3 linked regions of the Caenorhabditis elegans genome follow. The protein of the gene in region 3 interacts with the protein of the main gene of each other region in a pairwise test. Each region holds a gene or a part of one and is shown on either strand. Other genes may lie near its edges.

Region 1 (8,251 bases), on a different chromosome or scaffold from region 3:
GTTTGCACCACCAAAGGGTCCTTCTCTTTTTCTCTGGAACCTCCACACTCTCCCCCAGTACTTTTTTCAAAAGGACATACCTATAGATATTTACTTTTTGTTACATACACATTCTTTTCTTTCAAAAAATGTCTCTTTTGCCCCGACTCGAATACCTGACAGTTCCTGTTCTCTCTTTCATCCACGAACGGTTTTTCTTTTGATGTCTCGATCTCTCATGGGCTATACACTCTCTCGCTAATTTCTCAAAAAACTTTTTCGATCGTTTCAATTTATCTAGATTATTTCATATTTCAGGGAAGCTGAAAAAGTTATTTGTCTACTGATTATTTCAAACTTCACAGGTTAAAAGTTTTACACAATTCAAATTTCGTTTGGTTTTTTTATAATTTTTGAGTCTTTGCTTTTAAACTTACTCAGTTCAAATCTTGCTTCTTAACTTATATCTTATCTTTTCTTTATTTTTTTGCAGCTAATCTATAGGTGATATTTTTCTATCTCTTTGTTTTTTTTCTGTTGCTTTATTTTCTATCTTTTTTCACTTGATCCAAACAAAACGACTAACACAAATTTTTTGAACATCCGTCAGCCACTTCAAAGCAGAGTCCCTTAAATTTAAACTTTCCGCCTGAGAAGGCTCCGACCAATCAGCGCCGTTTGCCACGCCCTTTGCGCGTCGCTGATTGGTCGAGAAGTTCAAACGTAGAATGAAGCGCCCTTCAACTCGTGGATTGCGTACTTTTTATTTCCTTTTGCTTGTTTTCCAAAAACAACAATAATTGAAAAATCGTGTCCTAATCCTAATTTTTTTTTTGATTTTCTATCCTTCTAACTTTTTCAAAAGTTAAAATTTTAAAATTGGACTTGTTTCATCATATTGTTTTTCTGATGTTTTGTGATGGCTAATTGCAACATAAGGTTCTTGGTAGTGGTAAAACGGAATGAGGAGAGAAAGAAGGCCGTTTCGATTCGATCACTACTCTCTCTTTTTTCTCTCTCATTCTATTTTTTGTTGTGTTTTTTCTCAGTTTTTCTTACCTACCATCTCTTTTGTTTCAAATTGAAACACTTCATCATTCGACGGAAAACTTGTTTTTATCTTCGTTCCTTTTTGCTTTTTTTCTCTGATTGTTATTTTAGTTATTGGTTATTAATTGTTGAAAATTTAAAAAATTTAAAAAAAGTTTCTTTAAGAAAATTATAATTCATGAGACTTTCCCAAATGATCTGATTTCTCAAAGTTTGAGATTAACTTCCTATTTCCTATTTTTTCCAATAACTTTTGATCTCCTCAACCTCAACTCTCTTACGCCACCAGATTTTGAAATTTGCCTTTTCAGTCAAAACAGACACTCGTAACAATTTTACAGTTGTATCCCGTACATTTCAAATCTTGTAAAAAAACAATGTCAACCCACGAACTTTCTTACAATCTAAAACTGGGATCGATGACACATTGTCACAAGACCCCCGCATTCCAATGTATTAGATTTCAAAAATATTTTGAAATAATTTTTGTTCAAAAACGGTTTGTCAGTATCATTTTGATATGATTTAGAAATGTGTAAATATCCCGTCACAGTAATTACTTTGCGCGGCAGTTCAGTTATTTGAAAATTTCTGAAGAATTTAGGTGCAATTTCTCAATAAATAACAAAATTTTAAACGTTTTTAAATTTCAATTCGCGTATTTGTTCATATGATTTTCTTTCATCGTTTAAATAATTACTTTTAAAAATAATGGCATTTTCTTTCAATAAACATATTTCAAAACTTCTCAAACATAACATAAATACCAATATCTCTTGATTATCACCTCTTATCAATTACGATTAACCCCGTTTCATTCATTTTATCACACGTACCTCCTCCTCTCATATGCATCTTTATTATATTTCATATTGTTCGTTTACTTTTTTCTTGTAAATTTCACAATGTAATTGACCGCCCGTGTCTTCTCACTAACATCTAGGAGGAGCTCAAAAGTTGAGTTGTAATCAGTGTTCATATCTGCGTCTCTTCTTCTCCAATACTCTCTCCTTGATCTCGGTTGCCTCTCGCATTCTATTTCACTTCTTTCTAAACCAACCACAAATCCCATTTGTTGCCCTTCCACCTTCTGTTCGAGTCATCTCTCTGTACATCTGTGTCTCTGTTTGGCTCCCGATCTCTTGCCTCTCAACATCTCTAAATTCTCCGCGTTTTTGTCATCTGGAACACCCTTCATCACTTTTCCGCAGTCGTTTATTTACTGCCCTCAAAATTGCATGCACTTTCAAAAATATGTCATCTGGATTCCAATTTTTGTTTTTTTTCACACATTTCTATGATTTTTTCTCATGTTTTCTTTTTTTGCTGGCACATTTCCAGATTTCCTAGATTGTCTAGATCTCAAATTTTCTCTTGAAATTAAAAGTTGTAGGACTGAAATATGGATTCCAAATAAAACTACTCTGAATTCAATATTTATTTGGATATTATGTCTCTCTTATTATATATCAAATTTATCAATTCCAATTAAAGTTGTTATCTTTTTTTCTTCCAATTTGCTAAACTTTTAACATTTTCCCAAATTGTCTTTATTTGAACTTTTCATTGAACCTATTTTTTTTCGAAAAACATTCCTTTTTAATTTTCTAGAAGTTAAACTAATTCCATTATCTTAAAGTGGATCTTTCAGTTGATAGGTCAAACTACAAAACATTGAGCATGAGAGGAACATAAACCTTTATCTAGAAAACAGTAGAGCTAAAATTTCTTCAGACCCTTTTCCCAATAATTATTTAGATTTTTTTTTGTTGTTTTTAAAAAAATCAGCTGAAAAATGTTTTGATCGAGCTACTAGGTAGAAACATTTCAAACCTTTCAAAATAAAAAAAATTGCAAAATTTTTGTTTTCCTCTTCCTACACATTTTTCATTTGGAAGTCTAAATGTGATCTTTCCGTGCCCGAAAAATTTTCAATTTATATTTTTCAAAATTTATACACCATTTTTCCAAATGGTTTTGCCATCCAATTTTTGTTTTTTTTTCAAACTTTCGAGATATTATAGCTAATTGAAAGTGCAGTTTTTCTTTCATTTAATTATATTTTTAACAACAAAAAATTTTGAATACATTACTCCATTAAACAGTACTCTTAACCAGTAATTTCCCAGCGCAGTTCATTTTTCCATTTAGATAGTTTCAATCTCGGTTGTTTTCTGGATTTATCAAAAAATCTTCAAATTATAAAAATTATTTCTGTATTTTATGAGGTAAAACATTTCTGATCAAATAGATTAAAAACCGTCGTAAAAGTATGATAAATGAGGTTTTTTTTTCGGGATTTTTTTAAAAACTATTTTTTTACTTTACTACTTTTACATGTACTCTAATACAATTTCATAACACTATCCCATCTCTGACCGCAACATAAATTGACATTTGTATTGACACAGCCTTGATCTATTCCCTCCTTCATTTATCCCTTGTCCTCTTGTCGTCCAGTTATTGTCAATCCTTTTTGTCAGCCTCTCCCCTTTTTTCACTTTTTTGCTATAATTATTTTTCTGTTTCAAAGTACTCAAAGAGCTTCCTTAATTATTTGCTCCCTCCCCTCACTTCGTTTAATCTAACAAACTATTTTTCAGGTTATATGAGTGATAACCCGACGCGCCAAAATCCTCCCAGCCGAACAGGTATGTCTTTGCCTTCTTCATCATCTTTCTCTTCACATCAAATCTTTTATCATTTTGATACCATAAATTGACAATGCAATCTATCATCATCTTGAGAAATGGCATACAAATAGATTTGATTTCTTGGGGGTTAAAAACCGGAAAATTGAGAAGTGTAGCTATTATGATTTATTGAAAAATCGGAAATAAATGAAAAAAAGAAAACAATAACAACATTATTAGACAAGTTTAATTCAACACGTAATAATTTTATAACATGAGAAATTATAGTTCTCAGGCAGGCAGCCAAGCCTTCCGGCGTGCCTACCAACCGCCTATTTTCTAAATTTACATTTGCATTTTTGCATGACTGGAATTTCTACAAAACCTCTCATTTCAATATGTTATTCATATTTGTTTGGTTTGAAAATCATTTTTATTTTTGCTGGAAAATATGTTTTTAAACCTGAAATACTGCCTTGAAGATGCAATTCGCAGAAAAAAACTACTGTAAATATATTCCTGGAAAATACAAATTTCAGTCAGTTTTTGAGGTTATTATCTACTTTTTCAGATGTGAAAGCAACTATTTTCAAATCAATAAAATACATTTTATATATTTTTGCATTGATATTTAGCTCGAAAAGTTGGATAAACTTAGCGAAATCTGTAGACCTCAAAATTAAAAATGAGTGCAACTTTTTTCACATCAAGATGTTCTATTTGTTCCTCCCAGTTTTCAAACATTATACAACAAATTACATTCGGTTTTCTTAGTTTATAATTGGGCGTTAATGAGAAACTATCTTTAAAATTTTTATCAACCGCAAAAGACCTTAATCGAGAAAAAAAATTTACCAACTATCATATTATTTCGCAGAAAATGATCAAAAATCTACTAGTATTCTGCACTAATTTAGACACTTACCGAGCTTTTCCAAAATTTTAAATATTCTGCAGGCAGAGAGCTGGAACGTCCCCGATGGACAGTGACACGTCGCGAAGAGACACGACACTCACCGTCCAGGTACATCGATTTCAAAATTGTTCATCTATTTAAAAAGTTATTCAGATCGACTTCTCCGTTTCAGTCGAGAAGCGTGACGACCACTGAGCGAGTTCATATCGTGCAATTGCCGGTCAGCGAAAACTCTCAAGTAAGAACTTTTTGATTTAATTTCAAGAATAGGATAACCACCAACGTTAAACGTAACAATTTGTCGTTAGCTTTTATTTGTAGACACTGAGCGCATTTATCAAACATTTTCAGGTGTCCCCAGCACATATTCTTGCCTTGTCACCCCATGGCAATACTTCACAGTCTGTTTCGTCAATCGTTACAACTAACCAGGTAAATATATCATAAATGAACCGGTACAGACAATACCTTTTTTCAGGCAGAAGGTGTACCCCTGATCGGAGCCCTGACCGCATCTGGAGTCCCTTTGTTCAATGGTATTTTGTTTAATCGTGACTCGAAACAAACAACTACAATCATTACGACCACCACAACGACCTATAAAATTTTGGAGGTATATTAATATATAAAGCTATAGTGCCGTATTTCTGAAAATATTATTAAATTACAGGTCAGTGATAGTGATTCACTATCAGACGATTACGAGCTTGTCGACGACAATACTTTAACAGTTGACATTGACCTCACTGAAAGAGCAACATCGCCAAGCTATGTAATTGTCTCAAAAAGCGAAAGCCATGCACCGATGTCGCCGGTAACCAAGGCCAAGCTTAACATTGAGCTTGAAATTCCACCTAAAACATATCAAACAGAAAGAATTGAACATGAAGTACTAGAATCGACTAGAGACTTTACTAGTGAAATGACAGAATCACAGTACACAGCCGACGATGAAAGACAACCATCTACACCAGGATCAGATGAATTTGAAAAGTTTGATGTAAGTTTGAGCTTCTATACACTAAAAACATTGAAAACACTTAGATGGACTATCCCATTCATCAAGCTTATGACGACCAAACTGTAACAACGACTTCGAAGACTACAAACATTGAAGAAATTCCACTGAATCAACACGTCGACTTGTACCATAATCAATTTTTTTATGATCAAATTCCTGGACCATCTACACCAAAGCCAACATCAAAAAATACGAAAAAAGAAAAACACATCAAGAAATTTCCATCTCATCTTGATTATCCAGTGTCTGAATCTTATGATGGACCACTTGATTCAACTTCACGAGCATCCAACATTCATGATATTCCACTCACAACGGAAGTGCATTCATATCCAACTGAATTCAGCTATGAGAAACTGCCAGAGCATGTCATTCCAGTTGTGATCGAGGAGTCAGAGAAGAAGGACGAGCCATCACTGAAATCTAAGATCACTGGATTGTTCAAGAAATCACCATCTCATCTTGATTATCCAGTGTCTGAATCTTATGATGGACCACTTGATTCAACTTCACGAGCATCCAACATTCATGATATTCCACTCACAACGGAAGTGCATTCATATCCAACTGAATTCAGCTATGAGAAGCTGCCAGAGCATGTCATTCCAGTTGTGATCGAGGAGACAGAGAAGAAGGACGAGCCATCACTGAAATCTAAGATCACTGGATTGTTCAAGAAATCACCATCTCATCTTGATTATCCAGTGTCTGAATCTTATGATGGACCATTGGAATCTACTTCACGAGCATCGAACATTCATGATATTCCACTCACAACGGAAGTGCATTCATATCCAACTGAATTCAGCTATGAGAAGCAGCCTGAGCATGTCATTCCAGTTGTGATGGAGGAGACAGAGAAGAAGGACGAGCCATCACTGGAAATCTAAGATCACTGGGATTGGTTCAAGGAAATCACCATCTCATCTTGATTATCCAGTGTCTGAATCTTATGATGGACCATTGGAATCTACTTCACGAGCATCCAACATTCATGATATTCCACTCACAACGGAAGTGCATTCATATCCAACTGAATTCAGCTATGAGAAACTGCCAGAGCATGTCATTCCAGTTGTGATCGAGGAATCGGAGAAGAAGGACGAGCCATCACTGAAATCTAAGATCACTGGATTGTTCAAGAAATCTCCATCTCATCTTGATTATCCAGTGTCTGAATCTTATGATGGACCATTGGAATCTACTTCACGAGCATCCAACATTCATGATATTCCACTCACAACGGAAGTGCATTCATATCCAACTGAATTCAGCTATGAGAAACTGCCAGAGCATGTCATTCCAGTTGTGATCGAGGAATCGGAGAAGAAGGACGAGCCATCACTGAAATCTAAGATCACTGGATTGTTCAAGAAATCACCATCTCATCTTGATTATCCAGTGTCTGAATCTTATGATGGACCATTGGAATCTACTTCACGAGCATCGAACATTCATGATATTCCACTCACAACGGAAGTGCATTCATATCCAACTGAATTCAGCTATGAGAAGCAGCCTGAGCATGTCATTCCAGTTGTGATCGAGGAGACAGAGAAGAAGGACGAGCCATCACTGAAATCTAAGATCACTGGATTGTTCAAGAAATCACCATCTCATCTTGATTATCCAGTGTCTGAATCTTATGATGGACCATTGGAATCTACTTCACGAGCATCGAACATTCATGATATTCCACTCACAACGGAAGTGCATTCATATCCAACTGAATTCAGCTATGAGAAGCTGCCAGAGCATGTCATTCCAGTTGTGATCGAGGAATCGGAGAAGAAGGACGAGCCATCACTGAAATCTAAGATCACTGGATTGTTCAAGAAATCTCCATCTCATCTTGATTATCCAGTGTCTGAATCTTATGATGGACCATTGGAATCTACTTCACGAGCATCGAACATTCATGATATTCCACTCACAACGGAAGTGCATTCATATCCAACTGAATTCAGCTATGAGAAACTGCCAGAGCATGTCATTCCAGTTGTGATCGAGGAATCGGAGAAGAAGGACGAGCCATCACTGAAATCTAAGATCACTGGATTGTTCAAGAAATCACCATCTCATCTTGATTATCCAGTGTCTGAATCTTATGATGGACCACTTGATTCAACTTCACGAGCATCCAACATTCATGATATTCCACTCACAACGGAAGTGCATTCATATCCAACTGAATTCAGCTATGAGAAGCTGCCAGAGCATGTCATTCCAGTTGTGATCGAGGAATCGGAGAAGAAGGACGAGCCATCACTGAAATCTAAGATCACTGGATTGTTCAAGAAATCACCATCTCATCTTGATTATCCAGTGTCTGAATCTTATGATGGACCATTGGAAACTACTTCACGAGCATCGAACATTCATGATATTCCACTCACAACGGAAGTGCATTCATATCCAACTGAATTCAGCTATGAGAAACTGCCAGAGCATGTCATTCCAGTTGTGATCGAGGAATCGGAGAAGAAGGACGAGCCATCACTGAAATCTAAGATCACTGGATTGTTCAAGAAATCACCATCTCATCTTGATTATCCAGTGTCTGAATCTTATGATGGACCATTGGAAACTACTTCACGAGCATCGAACATTCATGATATTCCACTCACAACGGAAGTGCATTCATATCCAACT
Region 2 (7,350 bases), on a different chromosome or scaffold from region 3:
TCATGAGTTTGTTTGATAATCCTGAAAATCACCTAATTTCGGCGTACTGAAATTTGAAACAATATATTTAATCAAAAATTAGTTTAATTAAAGAATATAAAATTCACCTGAGAATGCATCTAAATTAAGTTTTAAATGTATCTCGGCTCTAATTTTTAATTAAATAAATTAAAATATGCCACGATAGAGTATTTTATTGAACTGCCATGTTCCTTACTACTACACAAAGCTGCCGTATCCCATGGAGACGTGCGTAGCAGGACATTCTCAACTTACTTTTTTCCATGATCAGCGGAATTGCTGCTTTTGTTGGAGGAGAAAGTTGCAAGATTCCGTTTTTTTGGATGTTCCATTACTGAAATATTTATTGTTTATTTTTTTAATAGCCATACAATTTAATTTACCATCTTTATTGGCTTCAATCATTTTATTAAACTGATTTACAACCCATCCCATGTGCCTGTGAGCATCGTGGCTTGTGAATTCAAGTTTGATATAACTGAAAATTATATTTATTAATTGAGAGTGTGATTTTAAGTTTGAGATTATTACTAATTTTCACTTTAAACAGAAATTCTGGAATATTTGTAAATTGGCAAGAAATTATCGAAAATTAAAGAGAAGTATCTTTACAATGGTATTTTATAGATATAGCAGGCCGCAAAAATGTTTTTTGTAGAATTTCAATTCTAAAGGAGCGATTTTTTTAAAAATATGATATTTCATTTAAAAAAAATTAAATCACCTTTCTTCGCACTGTTTATTCAACTCAATGTTCAACAATTTGGCTCCCGTATGTGAATTATCCGCTATCGGCTTGTACATCATTTGTGTATAGTAATACTCTTTGTCTCCTCCTCCGGGACACCTGAATCTGATAGAATCCGATGTGAATTCGATTTGTCTCTTCAACATTCTTATAGGTGTGATGCGAGGTCTTGTGATGGTCACGTCAATAAAGAAGTTTTCCAGCATCTGAAAACAGGATATTTAAATATATTTTAACGTTGAAATTTGAAACAAAAGCAAAATAGTAATTATTATACATACGTGACATTCTAATTGCTTATCAATAAAACTAATCTGGCAAAAAAAATCTCCCCTCCCGTGAAGTGAAATCGAAAATCAAATTATTTCGATTTTAGTCCAACCCTAGGAACACATTTCGATTCGCATCAAGTAAGTGCTTTAACAGGAAATTCTGTGAAGGCAAGCGGTAGCTGAGATCAGTGGCAAGAAGAATTTCTTTAGAACATCCTAAAGAGCTGCTGAAACTCTTTGACTGAAATTTTGTGATGTGCTGGTAGGAGATTCTTCTAGCCACTGCTATTTTCTAACATTTATTTCTTCTTGATATTCCACTATAATCGGAATCTCCTATCTAATATTCATTTAAAAAAATGAATAAGTATTTTGCAGCTCACTCAAGATGGCATACGTCGAGAGCTTCTACATGGATGCTAGTTTGGAGAGCGACGCCGACGTTCTTCCAGCATCGGAGAGTGATATGTTTGAGGCACAATTCATTGCCGATGTCCCACTCGACGGCGACGCGATCATTCGTATCGTTGATTCACAACTCGCTTTTGAGCAACGCAACCACGTTGTGTCGGACTATTGCACCATGAAGGCCGCGGAGCTCGAGAAGAACCCGAATCAACTGACAATGAACAGCTCAGTTATGGACAATCAGCAATATTTTGCCCCGCCAAAAAGTGAATCGTCGCAATATGCATGGAACACGAATGATGTTGTCTCTTCTCATCATCAATATGCTGCTCAGAGCCCAAACATCTACACCAACGACTATCACACCAGTGAACCATCCGATTATGCCTATATATAACTTGATGGAATGAGTAAACATTTGTATTTTGGGTTTCTGTATTTACTCGTTATTCAGCCGCAAAATTAGAGAAATCTAGACTTTCGCGACGAGACCCAGCTTATCTATTTCAAGGTGGTCGTAGAATCGTTTAATTTAAGACTTCTCAATCCCTATTCACACATTAAAAAGCAAAACTACGATACTTGAATAGCATTAGTTCTGAAATAGAAAGATTAAAAGTAAAGAAAACCTCGATTCAAACGAGTATTTGAAAAAGGAGAATAGAGGGAAAAAAAAGTTTATCACAGGTTGGGCAAAGTTTCAATAAATATCGACAAGTGTTTGAGAAATAATTACAAGATGTCAAAAGGAATAAATATTGCAAATTTAATAGTCTTAATCAGCATCCGAGTCTGACAAATATTCAGCATACTCTTCTTCATTCACACGATCCTCTTTCATTGCTTTGTCTAGAAGAGCAGCGATATCAGCATCCTGGAATTATTTTTTCTATAGAAAACTTCTATAAAAAACAATATTTACTTTTGTCACATCACTCGGCAGCTTTTGATCTTGATTCCTTACAAATGGATTGGCTGACGAAGCGAGAAGAAGTCTCACACATTCCACGTGGCCTTTGTAGGCCGCTGCATGAAGAGGCGTATCACCGAGTTTGTTCTGAAAATTTAATTTTTAGAGATTCGTTACATGTGAAAGAATATTTCAACAAACCTGAACCGAAACTGCAACTTTTGGATCCTTCAACAACGTATCCACTGCTGGCGCGTGTCCACCATGTGAAGCCCAGTAAAGTGGTGTAGCTCCGGACTTATCGAGGGAGTTGACGGATACCCGCTCTCGAAGACATTCAGCCAGCATATCCATATTTCCACGTCGAGCAGCTTCATGTAGGGGATTCGGGAGCTCTTCCACATTCTCACTGATCACTGAAAAAATAAATATTGGAATTTCTAGAAATCTCGATGAACTCGGTGCAGTTTCGAATTATAAAAGAGGAGGAACGACGGTTTTGCAAAATTGAGATGCGGTTTGATGCATGGCCATTTAAAAATGATTTTGTACTAATGAACTGACGAAAAAAGTTCAAAAACAAGTAATTTAACTAAAAACTGTAAAACCATGTGAATTAATCTACGCTTCTCATCGAACCGCGCCGCAGCTTTGCAAAACATTCCTGATTGTGCTGTAAGTATTCACCATAATTAGCTGGAACCAATCCTTTTTTGCCTCCGATGCTTGCTTGGAACCAATCTTTGTTCGGCTGCTCGTCGCTGACGTACATTAGATCTCCTTCACTGAATGTCAGCTCTTGAGCCTGAATTTATTCAATAATTGGGTTGTTTTTTTCAAATTAAAGCTTACAGATCTGGCTTGAAAATCATAAAGTGCTCGATAAACTTTCACTCGTCCTGGCTTTGGAGCTGGTGGTGGTGGAGCCATTGGTCGAGCTGATGACATTCTGATAAATTTTAAAAATGTTGAAAAATTCATATTTCTAATCAGAACAATAATATTTTTAAAGTAGAATATATTCACCAAAACAAAGGTGTAAAAATTGAAGAATAAATTTTTTTGATCATTTGAAGTAGAAATCCGTTTATTAGCTATTTGACAGAGAAATTTAATACGTTGAGACCAGTTTGAAAAATGTACAAATATCGTAAGGAATTTATGGATAATAGAAAGTCAACGGTCCGCATCGTTCTTCTCGAATTCGACGAATGTGACGAAGGCACGGAATTGCTTTGGCAAATGATGGACGAAGACGGTCTTGGAGCATTGGTCGAATGTCGGTTTCTATGAAGAATAACGTTGTTGGAAGTCTCTTTCTTGCTTTCATTTCCTGAAAAATTATAGATTTATTTTCAATAAAACAAGTAAAACAAACTTACAAGTTCTCGCCAATTGTCCAAAACCTCCCTATCGCTCCTTGTCAGCTGTTTATTAGTTTTCCCCAGGATTTTGCTCTTTTTCATCAGGAAATCATCCATTTTGCTCACTATTTCATTCATCATTTCCAGCGTTAACCGGCCTAGTTGATACTTTGGAATTGTTTTGAATTCTTCATCCGTTATCTGTGGCACAATTCTGATATCATTTTCTTTCGGTTTAGACGATAATCCTTGTTCATTCGGTTCATTGGTTTCGACAAGAGCAGATGATTCTTTACTTTGAGGTACCAATTGTGATTTCACATCGACAATCGTGGAAGCTTCAACTTTGATTCCGAGAAAATCATTCAATTGACTTTTGGTGCAGTTCATACATGTTTCTTCACAGTTGTTTTCCAATTTTTGTTGATCAAAAGCTGCATCATCTAGTAACAACTTGATATTCTTCATTGTATTCAAGAGAGGGCTGATTGCTGAAAGAAGTGATAATGAAGAATGCGAGAAGTTGTGAAGAAAAGTAAACGTACTTGTTTCAAAATTGGGAATATTTTCTCGACATATGCGGAAATTTTCATCGGTCTCTTCGGTAATCCGATCAATAAACGATTCCATTCTGAAACAGGTAATGTTTTAATTTTTAATTTTTAATATGTTATGTTTTGTAGTATTAGAGATATGTTTAATGTATCAACAATTGAAATTGAATCAACGGAAAAGAGCCAAATTCGATAAAGTCTAATTTTAGGGAAAAAGGAAGCAGTGGCCGTTTCTGCTGGATTTAAGAAATAAAGAATGCAGTAGAGCAAGAAAAAAATCTGTTCCAATTTAATTAAGAAGTTATAGCTAATTAAAAAGATAAAACAATTAAATAAATAAAGACAAGACGGCAAGGAACGATGAGTCATATTCGCGCCGTTTTAATTCAGATATACTTCGAGAGGAGTACACATCCGTGGGCGATAGAGCAGCCACAGTTCGAATTTCTAGGCCACGACCATAAAAGCGAATTTTCAAATTTAGATTTTTATCTTTGTTAGAAACGTTTTTCTACAAAATAACATCATATTTATACCTAACCCAATGAAGATAAATGGAAGAAAAAGACGAATTTGATTTATTTATTGAAAAAGCTGAAGAAGTGGTTCGTCTTTTTGAAAATGGGCAGGACGTGAGTTAATTGATGCGATAACGCGTTATAACACTGAAAAATATTCAGTTTCTCTCATCTTTTAATTTTTCAGGTTCGCAACGAAGCAGAAAAATTGCTCAAAGATGCTCTTTCTGTTGACGCAGAATGTGTTCCGTCCACATGTGTAAAGCCAGATAAAATCTGCAAAATCTTAAATGTGAGTTGTTTTTATTTCAAAAGAGATAAAAAATATATTTAATTCTCAGTATCATATAAATAAAACAAGCTCCCCACCAGTTCAAAGTATTCGAATGCGCCATTTTACTCGATCTCCAACAGAAAATAAAAAAGTAGGAGTCATAAATATCTCAATTTTCTGATAAAATGATTATTTTTCAGATAATAAACACAATAAAAGTACAACCTAACTCGTCTTCATGTCTACGATGCACAGTTTTAATAATAATTTTTACCCTTCTTTGTCTCATAGCTTATCATTTCTACTTTTTGCGATTACCAACACGTTGTCCTCGGCCAACGTGGTGAATGGCTTTATAAATGTACAGCAATTTGTTCAAGACATTTGTAATTCATTCAAAATAAGCATGGAAAAGATCGAAATGTGATTCAATGGGAAAACATAATGAAGTAGAGTTTTTAACCGTGGAGAAAAATCGATACAAATAATAGTATCATAATGAGGAGATCAAGCGAGATCGAATCAGTCTTCGGTAGTGACGGCACTCGCCGTGCACTTTTCCATAATTTCCAAACTTTTGTCGTGGTTTTTAGAGAGCATTTTTCTGTAAAAAATGTATTGTATATAGAGTTAGGAAGAAGAAATTACGTACAATAGTGGTAAATCATCAATTGGCTGGTAAACAATATCTTCAAGAATTGGTAAAGGATCTCCTCTCTCCAAATGAATTTTTCGAAGTGTTGCTTCCTGAAAAAAACTTTCCAGTTTAACACGATTGTTTTTAACGTACTTCAGTTTCTGCTTCAGTGTTTGTTGGTTGTGGATATACAGCGAAAAGTTCGAGTTCTTCTTTCGGATCACTTCCCAGCCGGACAATTTCCCGTTTTCTTTCGATATCCTACAATAAAAACATTATATTTTGAAACAAGTCATATATAAGGAAGTGTAAAAATCTACAAAATGGCCCGTTTTGAAATTTTAATGTAACTTTTGACTCGAAGGCTACTGTAGAAATATAGAAAAATGATTAAATTATTTTGCCGAAAAAAAAACGTTGTAGATTTTTTCGCACACTCTTGACACAAAATTCAATCATACATTTATAGACCGACGACATTTGTGATAATGTGATGCTGTTCGGTTCCCATTCCACGACTTGAAGCCACATTCACATTCGAACAGAGTATCCCCAGTAGTCGTCAGATCAAATCCTTCTCGTTCTTTGTCTCCAGCACAGGCAACTTCATCGTTTATCCGACGCCCTTCCAGAGTTTCAAAGAATCTACGTTGAAGTAGGCCTATCTTATTTCTTTTTGACATATGCTCTCTTTCAGTTTCATGGACGGATTTCCGTTCAATCACTTGCCACAGTGAATTGAGCATTGTGTGATCATTGGTACGATGAGCCTCAAGCAATAATCTGCTAGTGAATGTCAGAGCACATACATGACATCGCATTTGTGGTCCCAATGCATGAGAACGCATGTGGTTAACGAATTCGCGAACGAAAATGTGCTTGGATCGACGGACATTTGGACGTAGATCCTCGTGATGGAGACAAATCGGACAGAGAAGAGTTCTGGAACTTTTGAATAATTTAAATATGCTTTTTCTTGAAAAAATCATACTCATTGCTATGCTTCTCAATGAAATGTTGATAAAAGAAAGCTCTAACTGATGTTCGATATTTGCATTTTTGACAATTGTATGGAGCTTCTCCCGAAATGTGTTTTTTCATATGTGTGTTCAATGCAATTGAATTACCAAACTGGAGAAAAACTATGAAATCTGTCTAAAATCATATTTCAAACTCACATCCAGCTCACAAATATTACACGTGGTATCCAGGTGATCTTGCTCCATATGACACTTGACAACGTGAATCGTTTTCAAATGAACAGTACGGAATACTGCGTTACAAAACTGGCAAGTCTGCAATCTCTTCAGTGACAAAGCACTATTTTCAGCGAGTTGAGCTGCATCCGAGTTTCTCAACAGACAAGAGAACATACCATCATCTCTGGAATTTCAATTTAATCCCAATTTAACCCAGAAAAAAACAAACTTTGATTCCTTCTTTTCAATTGGTGGCAACGGAGGATCATGAATAACGTGAGCCCATATGTGATTGATGACTTCAACGACACTTCCACATAATTTGTAGCATTTTGTCGGATTATAGGAACACTGAAAGCATTGAAATTTTAGTTTTCAATCTGCAATCTCCTAGCCTACCATGAATTTTCCCTCGATTTTCTTTGTGTTATATCTAGAAGATCTT
Region 3 (8,328 bases):
CTTCTTTATTTTCTTTCCAAAAGGGTTACTTTCTTGGAAAATGAGATGAAAATAGACCTCATTTCCATTTTCTACTAAACTTCTACAGTCCGTTCTGGCAATGGCCATTGTGACTATTCATCCAATTCGCGACTTTTCAAACTGTTATGAGTAGTAATCGGGCATTCCGCCATCGTTTTCACAACTGTTTTCCGATTTTCTTTTGTTGGACTTGAGAATTGGAATTCAATTCTTTCACACAAGACATTGTCACTTTTGCAACGTTCGGTTCCACTTTTTTATCATAATAACTATAATCAATCATAGTAAATGTTTGCAAGCTTCTGTTATTAGGATGGTTTTTTGTCGCAGATTTTTTTGCTTATTATAAAGGTACATATCACTAGCATTAATAATGAAAATTTTTTAACTTGATTTTGAGGTTGTTATGTTTTATTGTAAAATCAAAATATTTTTAACTAACTCATTTTAGCACTGCTGAATAATTAATAAGTACAACTATTTAACAGATTTTTTTTGAGTCACAATCCGGGATGGACGGCATTCTAAAATGTTGGGCATTTCGGATGTTTCGGCAGATGTTGAGTTTTAAAAATTGTGGCAATCGGTTTTTTCGGCAATTGCCGTCTACCCCTTATGAAAATATTTATTTCAAAATGTACCTGTTACAAAAATGCCACTTTCAAAAAAATTCTCTATTAAATTTTTTTTTCGATAAAAATTTACGAGGTTTGATGTAAATTATTATTAGTAGTAATAGATATCTTTTGGAAAATTTAATATGTAGTGCAATCATTCTCCAATCTCGGTAATATTGACTTATTTAATATTTTGCCTTAATTTAGCCACCAATATTAGACAATATTATTTCAAACGTCCTGAATGAAATCATCATTCGGAAGTGATCTAATCCATTTAACAAATAAATATTTATATCTAAAGCTTTTCGCCCGTCATCCTATCATCGCCTTTTTCGTCCTTTTCCCTATAATCAGACTATCGGTGAACGAGGAGAGAAATGTCAATAAACAAATTGATTAATCATCTTTGACAGGTGCCGGTGACCGGAAAATCCGTCATATCATAGTGTGAGGCAATCCGTTTTGAAAAAAATTCTATTGTGTTTGCAAAGTTAAACAGTTTTCAATATTCGTGTAATCTTAATTTTTTGTTTAGTGAGATTCATTTAAAAAAAGTAGTTCGAAATTTCAACGTTCCTCTAGATTCCTGACCACTTTCATTCTTAAACCGAATTATAACACATAACATCATGCACAAACATTATCATAATCTGTTGTATTTCCATCTTTATTTCTTATCACTTTTCGCATCTGTAGTTCGTTACAATTTTACGAGTTCTCGCTCATTCTCACTCCCGACTATCTTTCATTCCATTCCTCTCGATATTTATATTCATAATAAATAAATGCACTATAAATTTCTCCATCATCATTTTGCCTAGATTAATTCAACAATTGCATTTGGAGAGTAGCATATGTTTTCAGAATTTGTTCAAAATCACCTAGAATTCATCAATCAAGTCTGGAGTTTAAAAAAAAACCTAAGCTTTTATCCTCATCTTTTCACAAAACATCATCATTAACCGTTACTAAAGTATGCAACTATTAATCTGCTACTGCTTGTTGTTGTTTTGTATACATATCATGTTGTATTACATGTTGCTGGTCGACATCTCCTGTGAATTTAGTTTTACATTTTATTAGTTTTTTTGCACCTCTGAATACTATATTTTTATCATTAATAAAATAATATAATATCTAAATTCAAACAAATTCGAATTGTTTCTGTGCCAAAAACTATTCACGTTATGAATTGGTAACACTGAAAACTTCAGATGATGTTTTTAAAATATTTTTTTTTAAATATTTTTAAACTCAAAATTGGAACTATTTCAATTTCAGGGGTGCGCGACATTTGGTAATTTTGAAAACATTGGAAATAAAAATTACAGGAATTGCCGGATTTTGTTGGCAATCTTGTAACCTAACAAATTTAAGCTTGAAATGTCATGTGTATTTTAGTAGAGTTTTTTTGTCATCCGTTTGCTTGAGATAATTCAAAAATTTTAGAATTTGAGATACTTTTTTTTTCCAATTCCCGCGCACCTCTGTAGATCACAAAACTTGTTTTGTAATTAACTTTGTCATTTTATTAAAAGAATGTAACTTCTATATGAAGAGTATTTATTGTATTTAACAAAGAAATACGAATAATTTTGATTTTCTAACCAAGCCCAATGTTTTACTAGCTTGAAGTTTGATGTAACTCCATTATTGCACAGTAATCTGTGGTGTGAAACTGGCACGTATGTATGATTGAAATCACTAGAGAGATAAAAGAAGATAAAAGATTTTGCAAAAGTGGTTTAGTGCGGCACAAGCAATTGTTATGCGCTACCAACTTGTCTTCGTGTTCGCCAGAACTCACGAGCAAACACCACACTCTCTTCTCTTCTTGACAGTACAAAGAAATTGGCACATAATAGAAACCTGAGAGCTCTTTACTTCTTCCGTAGCACATCCTTCTTTTGTTTTTCGCTCATTTTCGTGTGTGTTATTCTCCCATCATCGTATTTTTTCACTACATATGCATAAAGTTGTTGATACATCATAGTCTGAATCATGGAACATCTCGTGGTCGCACATGTCTCCTTCTTCAAATTTTTTATTCAACAAAACAATGATTTCAAATTGTTGTATAAAAAACTAACCAAGCCTTTTTAAATTGCTAAGTTTCCGTTCAACAATTCATGTTCCTATTGAATCATTTTTTATTGTTGAAACCCATTATTCTACATTCAGCAATATGTAGGCAATTTGATTGAAATTCTATCCGCTTTTCCAAAAAGGAATGATGAAAATTTTAAAGGTTTTTTTTTCAGAATTGTATGGACATAGAAAATCTACAATCGTCAAACAACAGGTCACAGAAAAGTCGTCCTCCGGACGGCTTCAACGCCATCTTACAGACAGCATTTTCTGCTATTTTGGTGAGTATTTTTGCCATAATTTTAATACAAGTTAATACTAAATTAAAAATACTCCTATTAAATTTTTTAACTTAAAGGTAAAGTTAGGCCAAAACGAGATTTTCATTCGAGAAGAGATATTCATTCAGATTTCGCGCCTTTCTCGAAAATTGTCAAAATTCGTAAATATTGGATAATAATTAAAAAAATTTTTGAAGTTTCACGATGATTTTTTTTCAGTCCATCTTTATATTTATATCACATCCCTCTATATGATATTGAATCTGACATATGTTTTCTTTAAAATAAGCGTTCAGCCTGAGACCCTTCCCTCTCTCAATTATAATAAGAACAAAAGGGTATCAAAAATGCGGATCTTTTTCTTTAAATCGTGTCAAATTTCTCACAGTTTCCCGTGTTATTTCCAAGCATATTCTTCTTTTTACACCGGGCTTTCCGCTCTCAGAATTTATTAAATTCAAAATGTTTCGCGTATGGGTGGCAGCAAAAGCGTGCAATTGTGGATCTCGTACATTCGCTTGCAGACATGACCACCACACTTCCACTTTTTTCTAATAATCATTGCATTTCGGATACTAATTGCGTCTTGTGGTTGTCGGGTGGCCCTTCAACCGTCTCATTACATAAGGGCCTTCGTTCCGATAACTTTTTGCCCTTTTGGCGATCTGAAAACTGAGAGGAAAGAGGAAAACTAGTCCAGTAGATACACTATCCATTCATTAGAGAAAATTTGAATTCTTGACGCCTTCACCATTCCATTTCAATTCCCACACACCTTCTTACAACAATTCACCAATTAATTTGCTTTCTGAATTCAGGCGTTTGTCCTCTCTCTACGTATAATTGTGTTCGCCACGGCCCGGAAACGACTTACCACCACGGCGGCAAATCCGGATATTCAGGTTGAGGAGGCGTCGTCTTCCTCATCCGATACCAGCTCCGACACCGAAATTGTAGAAGAGGGTGTATTTATACAGGTGAGACCTTTTCTTGATTGTTTTTTCTTTTCACAAGACATTATCAATTTTTTATACTTTTGCCGTATAGGTTAAAAACTGAGTTTTAACATTTAACGTCTTGAAAGCGGAATTTTGTTTTCATTCACATATGAATAATTGTCAAACACGATTAAATATCGTAATTACACACATTTTAAGTTTTCATGTTCTTCGGAAGAATTATTTTCGGGAGAATAAGAATTATTTTTGAAAAAATGTCTTGCTTTCAAATAATTTCTCAATTATTTTGGGCATTACTGGAGATTTGAACACAACAATGTATATATAAAAATAATATGAATCTCCTTAATGTGTAAAACTGACAGGACATGTATTTTTTGGTTGACTTCCAAATGATTTATTGAAACTAAGTAAATGTTACTTTGTTTTGATTTTGTGTGTGATTTAAAAATTATATACATTTTTGATATGTTTGTTGGCTATTTTCGGATAGTGTAAATGTCTTGATCATATTAATATGCTAGGGATACCCCACATTCGAACAGTTCCAGATGATATTGAATGAAGATAATTTTAATAATAGTGGTAACGGAATAGAATGTATACATTGTAAAATTATACAACTTTTGAGCAAAAATTCACAATTAATTTACTCACAACACATGTGTTATTCAAAATTGTACGTGAAGCAATAAATCAAAAATTTAATTATAAAAGTGTCAAAATTATTATTTCTTTCCTGAAATTTATCTAATAACCATGTCTTGATTATGAGTCACTGACTAGAAATTTGCTTATTTTTAGTTTAATTTACGTTACCTACCTTAGTATTCAGTTCTTAATTCGCATCTTTTCCCAATTCCACTTGGCCAATTTTCTTCAAATTACCAATTCTGAACCATCTAACTCAACTCATCAAATCTCGACTCATTCATTCCACCAGACTCTAGCAACCTTATTAAAACTGTTCAATTGTTCCGTTGGAGATGTCAAGAGGGGCAGAAAACAGAGAGGGTCACAGACGTTTGCCCTTCCTCCAAATCGTCTTGGCCACTAACCTCTGTCGTGTTTTTTAATGTGCTACTACCTGGCTTCTTATGTGGTATTTGTGGTGTATATGTTGAATTTGTGTTATACTTTTACTTTTCTATATTCACGAGTTTTATACAGTTTAGAATTTATTTGTTCAACTAAAAATCTGCAAATGTCTCGATTGTAATTACTTAGTATACTTAGTAGGTTTAACGAACTTGAACTTTTTAATTTTTACTTATATTTGTAGTGAATTGATTATTGTAGGGATTATTCGTGTTTTAAATTTGAAAAAAAAAACACTTGTACCCTCTTGCTCCACCTTGGCAGTACTTGGGTAATTTTTGTTTTTATCAAAAAAAAATAAAATAGTCAAAATAGTCAACTAAGAAATATTAAATTCAACATAATTTTTTTCTTTGATAAACCCAAGGAGAACCGAAGTGTAAGCCGACAACTCAATAGTGAAAGTGAATTTTACTTTTACATAATTTTCCTTAGTGAAACTAAGTTGCGGAAAATTTTCTCAAACGATGCCAACTGGGAAAAGTCGAGTAAAAAGATACTGCCGTGCACTGCACGGTATACAAAAAGGAGATGCACCAACCTCAGCCACCTTGTCAATACACACAAATATGCATATACGTACCAGCTAACGCATATAAAAAGCCCTGTTTATTCAGATGATTCACACAAAACAACCCCGCCAGCTCTTCTGCCTTTTTGCCCCTTTTTCTTTTTTCTCTGTACATCGTTGTGTTCATATAATACAATATGTTTGATTTTTTGACTTTTGCATCCATCTCTATTCCTCTTCAAGTCACCAATCTTTCGCACTTTTTGTTTTTTCTTTATGTCTCGGGATTTCTTCATTTTCTGGTCATTTGTCATCAAATCATTGTACCGTCACTACCAATTAGTCATCATATCCGTTCAGTGTACAACGTTCCGTTCACTCCGAAAAGGTAGATTAATCCAAACCGCCTGTCAATCAAATTGTAGAGCCTACAACTATGATCTTACGCAGATTTCATTTCGTTTGTGTTTCTCCTTATACAATTTTCAATGCCATCACCATCACACCTTCTGATTTATGAGGTTCTGTATAGAGCGAAAGAATTGAAGGTTAACACTTACTATTAGATAAAAAGTGGAATAAAAACCAAAATCAAAACCAATATCTAAGGTTGAAAAATAAATAAAAAATTGGATAGGTAGAGCGGTGAGCTCTTTTCCCCCGTTTGTGCAAATCTCGGTCTCGACATCTATTTGATTGTTTGCACAATGTTTTTTTTCCAGTATTATCTTCTCTTTCATTCCACTTCCCGCTTTTTAGATGATACTTTTGACCATTTCATGTAGCCGCTTTCTTTTTTGTCTATTTAAAAACAAAGTATTCTAGTTTTAGTTTTTAGTTCATGGTTTTATTTATATTAGGTGTTCCAAATTGAAGAAACTGTTTTATTGAGAATTGTTATAGTATGTTCCATTGTCAATCAAATGTTTTGGCATTTTGATTAGAATCAAAATTGTTTTTTTTTATTGAAACAATATTTTTAAAACTTTTTAATTTATTACGCTCTCTCGGAGATGTAAAAAATACACAATAAAAATAGGAAAATTTGAAAAAAAAAAAATTAAGACTCATAAACGTTGCAAATACTTTTCTCAAAACTTTATCAAACCGTATAAAAAAACTGTCACTGACAAAACCTGCATTATGTCGTTTATGCATCATAACTGTAGAATATCTTCTGATGTACTCGAAAAAAAATGAATAGTCAAATAAGAGTGGTTACTTTTGCGTCAATAAATCTACTGTAAGCAAAATTGACAGAAACAGTTTTTTAGTTCAAGAAATTGAGTAGAACAAATTTAAAATTACAGAATTCTAAGAAGATATATGACCTTTCAAAAAAATTTCGGTTTCAAATTAAATGTATCACAAAGTAGAAAATGCATTTGAGTTTGAATTAATTCAACTTTGAAAAAAAATTTCACAAGAAGTGTTGGAAAAAATATCTCTAAAGCTGTGTTTTCCTCTAGAATCCAATCTCTAGATCTTTTAAAATTAAGCTTTACTTTTCATATTCCAGTTGCTTCATTCAATTTACTACTTACACCGCTTTTTCCTAGATCTTATGGTTTCTCCGTTTTGTAACCGCAAAAAGTGATACCTGTTATGTTACGACGACCCAGATTGTATCGCTGAACGGTTATAAAACAATTGTCGGAACGAAAAGTTTTGTTGACATTGTTGGTATAACTTATTGAATTGACAAATTTATCCGCTTAACAAGAAGCAATTTTACGGTTTCTTGTACTACTGAATGCTTAGTACAATGAAAAAAAAGAATTATTGTTTCTTTTGAAACATTTCTTCTTTGAATATTTAGAACAAAAAAAATCACATCACATTGCTGTTCGTTTCCCAATCCTTTTGTCTCTATGCATAGCATTTTTGATTCTCAAACAATATAACCGAAAGTATTTTTCTTTTCAGAGACAAGGGGAACCAACCATGTCAGAGAAAAAACCGGCACAAGGAATGCCGTCCGTAATGTCGCTGCTTCAAACTGACGAAATTTTGTCATCATGCTCAGATGACGAACCGTAAGTCTTTTCTAGTCTGAAAATAGAAAAAAAATTAACAAATGAAAATGAATTTTTTTTTCTGAAAATCTACTCTAAAGTTAACTCTCCTACCCATGGCCCAATCGTTATTAAAAAATGATTATGTGGAGATATGTAACAAAAATGCACAGTGTACATACTTTTACTGTATGAATAACAGAAAACGTTTTGAAATTATACAAACGACTACAAAATGTGTAATTCAACTGAAAAATAATATAAACTGAAACCTAATTTTTTAAGATTTGAACAAATATTACCGTTCCAAAAAATGAATTGTTAGCTGACTCAATTGTTTTTGGCATCAACGCGAAAAAAGTTGAACCATTTCTCAGAAGAAAAAGTGGTTATAATACTATCATAAATTTTGAAAAGCTTTTGATTATGAAAAGCTTTTACCCATTCTCGATATAAAAATACTTTTACTGAAATACCTCGAAATTTTCTGGAATTTTAATAAATTAGATACAATGCTAAACATTTTACATTTATTTTTCTCACAATACAATACAACTAATCAAGGTTTCCTAGTAATAATAATACTAATCTGAAAAAATTTCAACGGTTAAATTTGTTTCGACATTTCCAAAATTCTGTTAAATAAAATTGCACTTCACGTTTTTTCAAGAAAAATGTAACCAGAAACTTTAAGCAAACCAGCTTCAAAAAATTGAATATATAATTCGGATCTAA

Evidence for each region. The genes of interacting proteins can lie anywhere in the genome.
Region 1: the proteins of ajm-1 (region 3) and ZC247.1 interact in a two-hybrid assay, tested with the Caenorhabditis elegans proteins (one large-scale study listed by BioGRID).
Region 2: the proteins of ajm-1 (region 3) and Y106G6H.14 interact in a two-hybrid assay, tested with the Caenorhabditis elegans proteins (one large-scale study listed by BioGRID).

The regions. Positions count from the first base shown.
Region 1 is NC_003279.8:10,274,621-10,282,871, reverse strand, and holds the start of ZC247.1 (63 kDa sperm flagellar membrane protein), read left to right. Parts: upstream 1-3,637; coding exon 3,638-3,680; intron 3,681-4,570; exon of another isoform or gene 4,571-4,619; coding exon 4,620-4,686; exon of another isoform or gene 4,687-4,698; intron 4,699-4,731; coding exon 4,732-4,816; intron 4,817-4,929; coding exon 4,930-5,010; intron 5,011-5,056; coding exon 5,057-5,191; intron 5,192-5,248; coding exon 5,249-5,578; intron 5,579-5,622; coding exon 5,623-6,470; intron 6,471-6,510; coding exon 6,511-8,251.
Region 2 is NC_003279.8:10,470,082-10,477,431, forward strand, and holds Y106G6H.14 (Osteoclast-stimulating factor 1), read right to left. Parts: upstream 3,309-7,350; 5' UTR 3,308-3,308; coding exon 3,212-3,307; intron 3,165-3,211; coding exon 3,047-3,164; intron 2,776-3,046; coding exon 2,561-2,775; intron 2,507-2,560; coding exon 2,372-2,506; intron 2,324-2,371; coding exon 2,225-2,323; 3' UTR 2,115-2,224; downstream 1-2,114. Other genes in the region: duo-3 (ubiquitinyl hydrolase 1), read right to left, coding at 277-355, 405-499, 746-975; Y106G6H.13 (Reverse transcriptase domain-containing protein), read left to right, coding at 1,430-1,846; ska-1 (SKA complex subunit 1), read right to left, coding at 3,519-3,692, 3,742-4,214, 4,269-4,353; Y106G6H.16 (Dynein light chain), read left to right, coding at 4,832-4,909, 4,983-5,087, 5,137-5,220, 5,270-5,416; row-1 (C2H2-type domain-containing protein), read right to left, coding at 5,592-5,673, 5,722-5,816, 5,860-5,967, 6,168-6,654, 6,698-6,837, 6,885-7,089, 7,135-7,256, 7,305-7,350.
Region 3 is NC_003284.9:9,080,075-9,088,402, forward strand, and holds the start of ajm-1 (Apical junction molecule ajm-1), read left to right. Parts: upstream 1-2,908; coding exon 2,909-3,010; intron 3,011-3,828; coding exon 3,829-3,987; intron 3,988-5,194; exon of another isoform or gene 5,195-5,397; intron 5,398-5,613; exon of another isoform or gene 5,614-5,755; intron 5,756-5,958; exon of another isoform or gene 5,959-6,149; intron 6,150-6,211; exon of another isoform or gene 6,212-6,359; intron 6,360-7,504; coding exon 7,505-7,614; intron 7,615-8,328.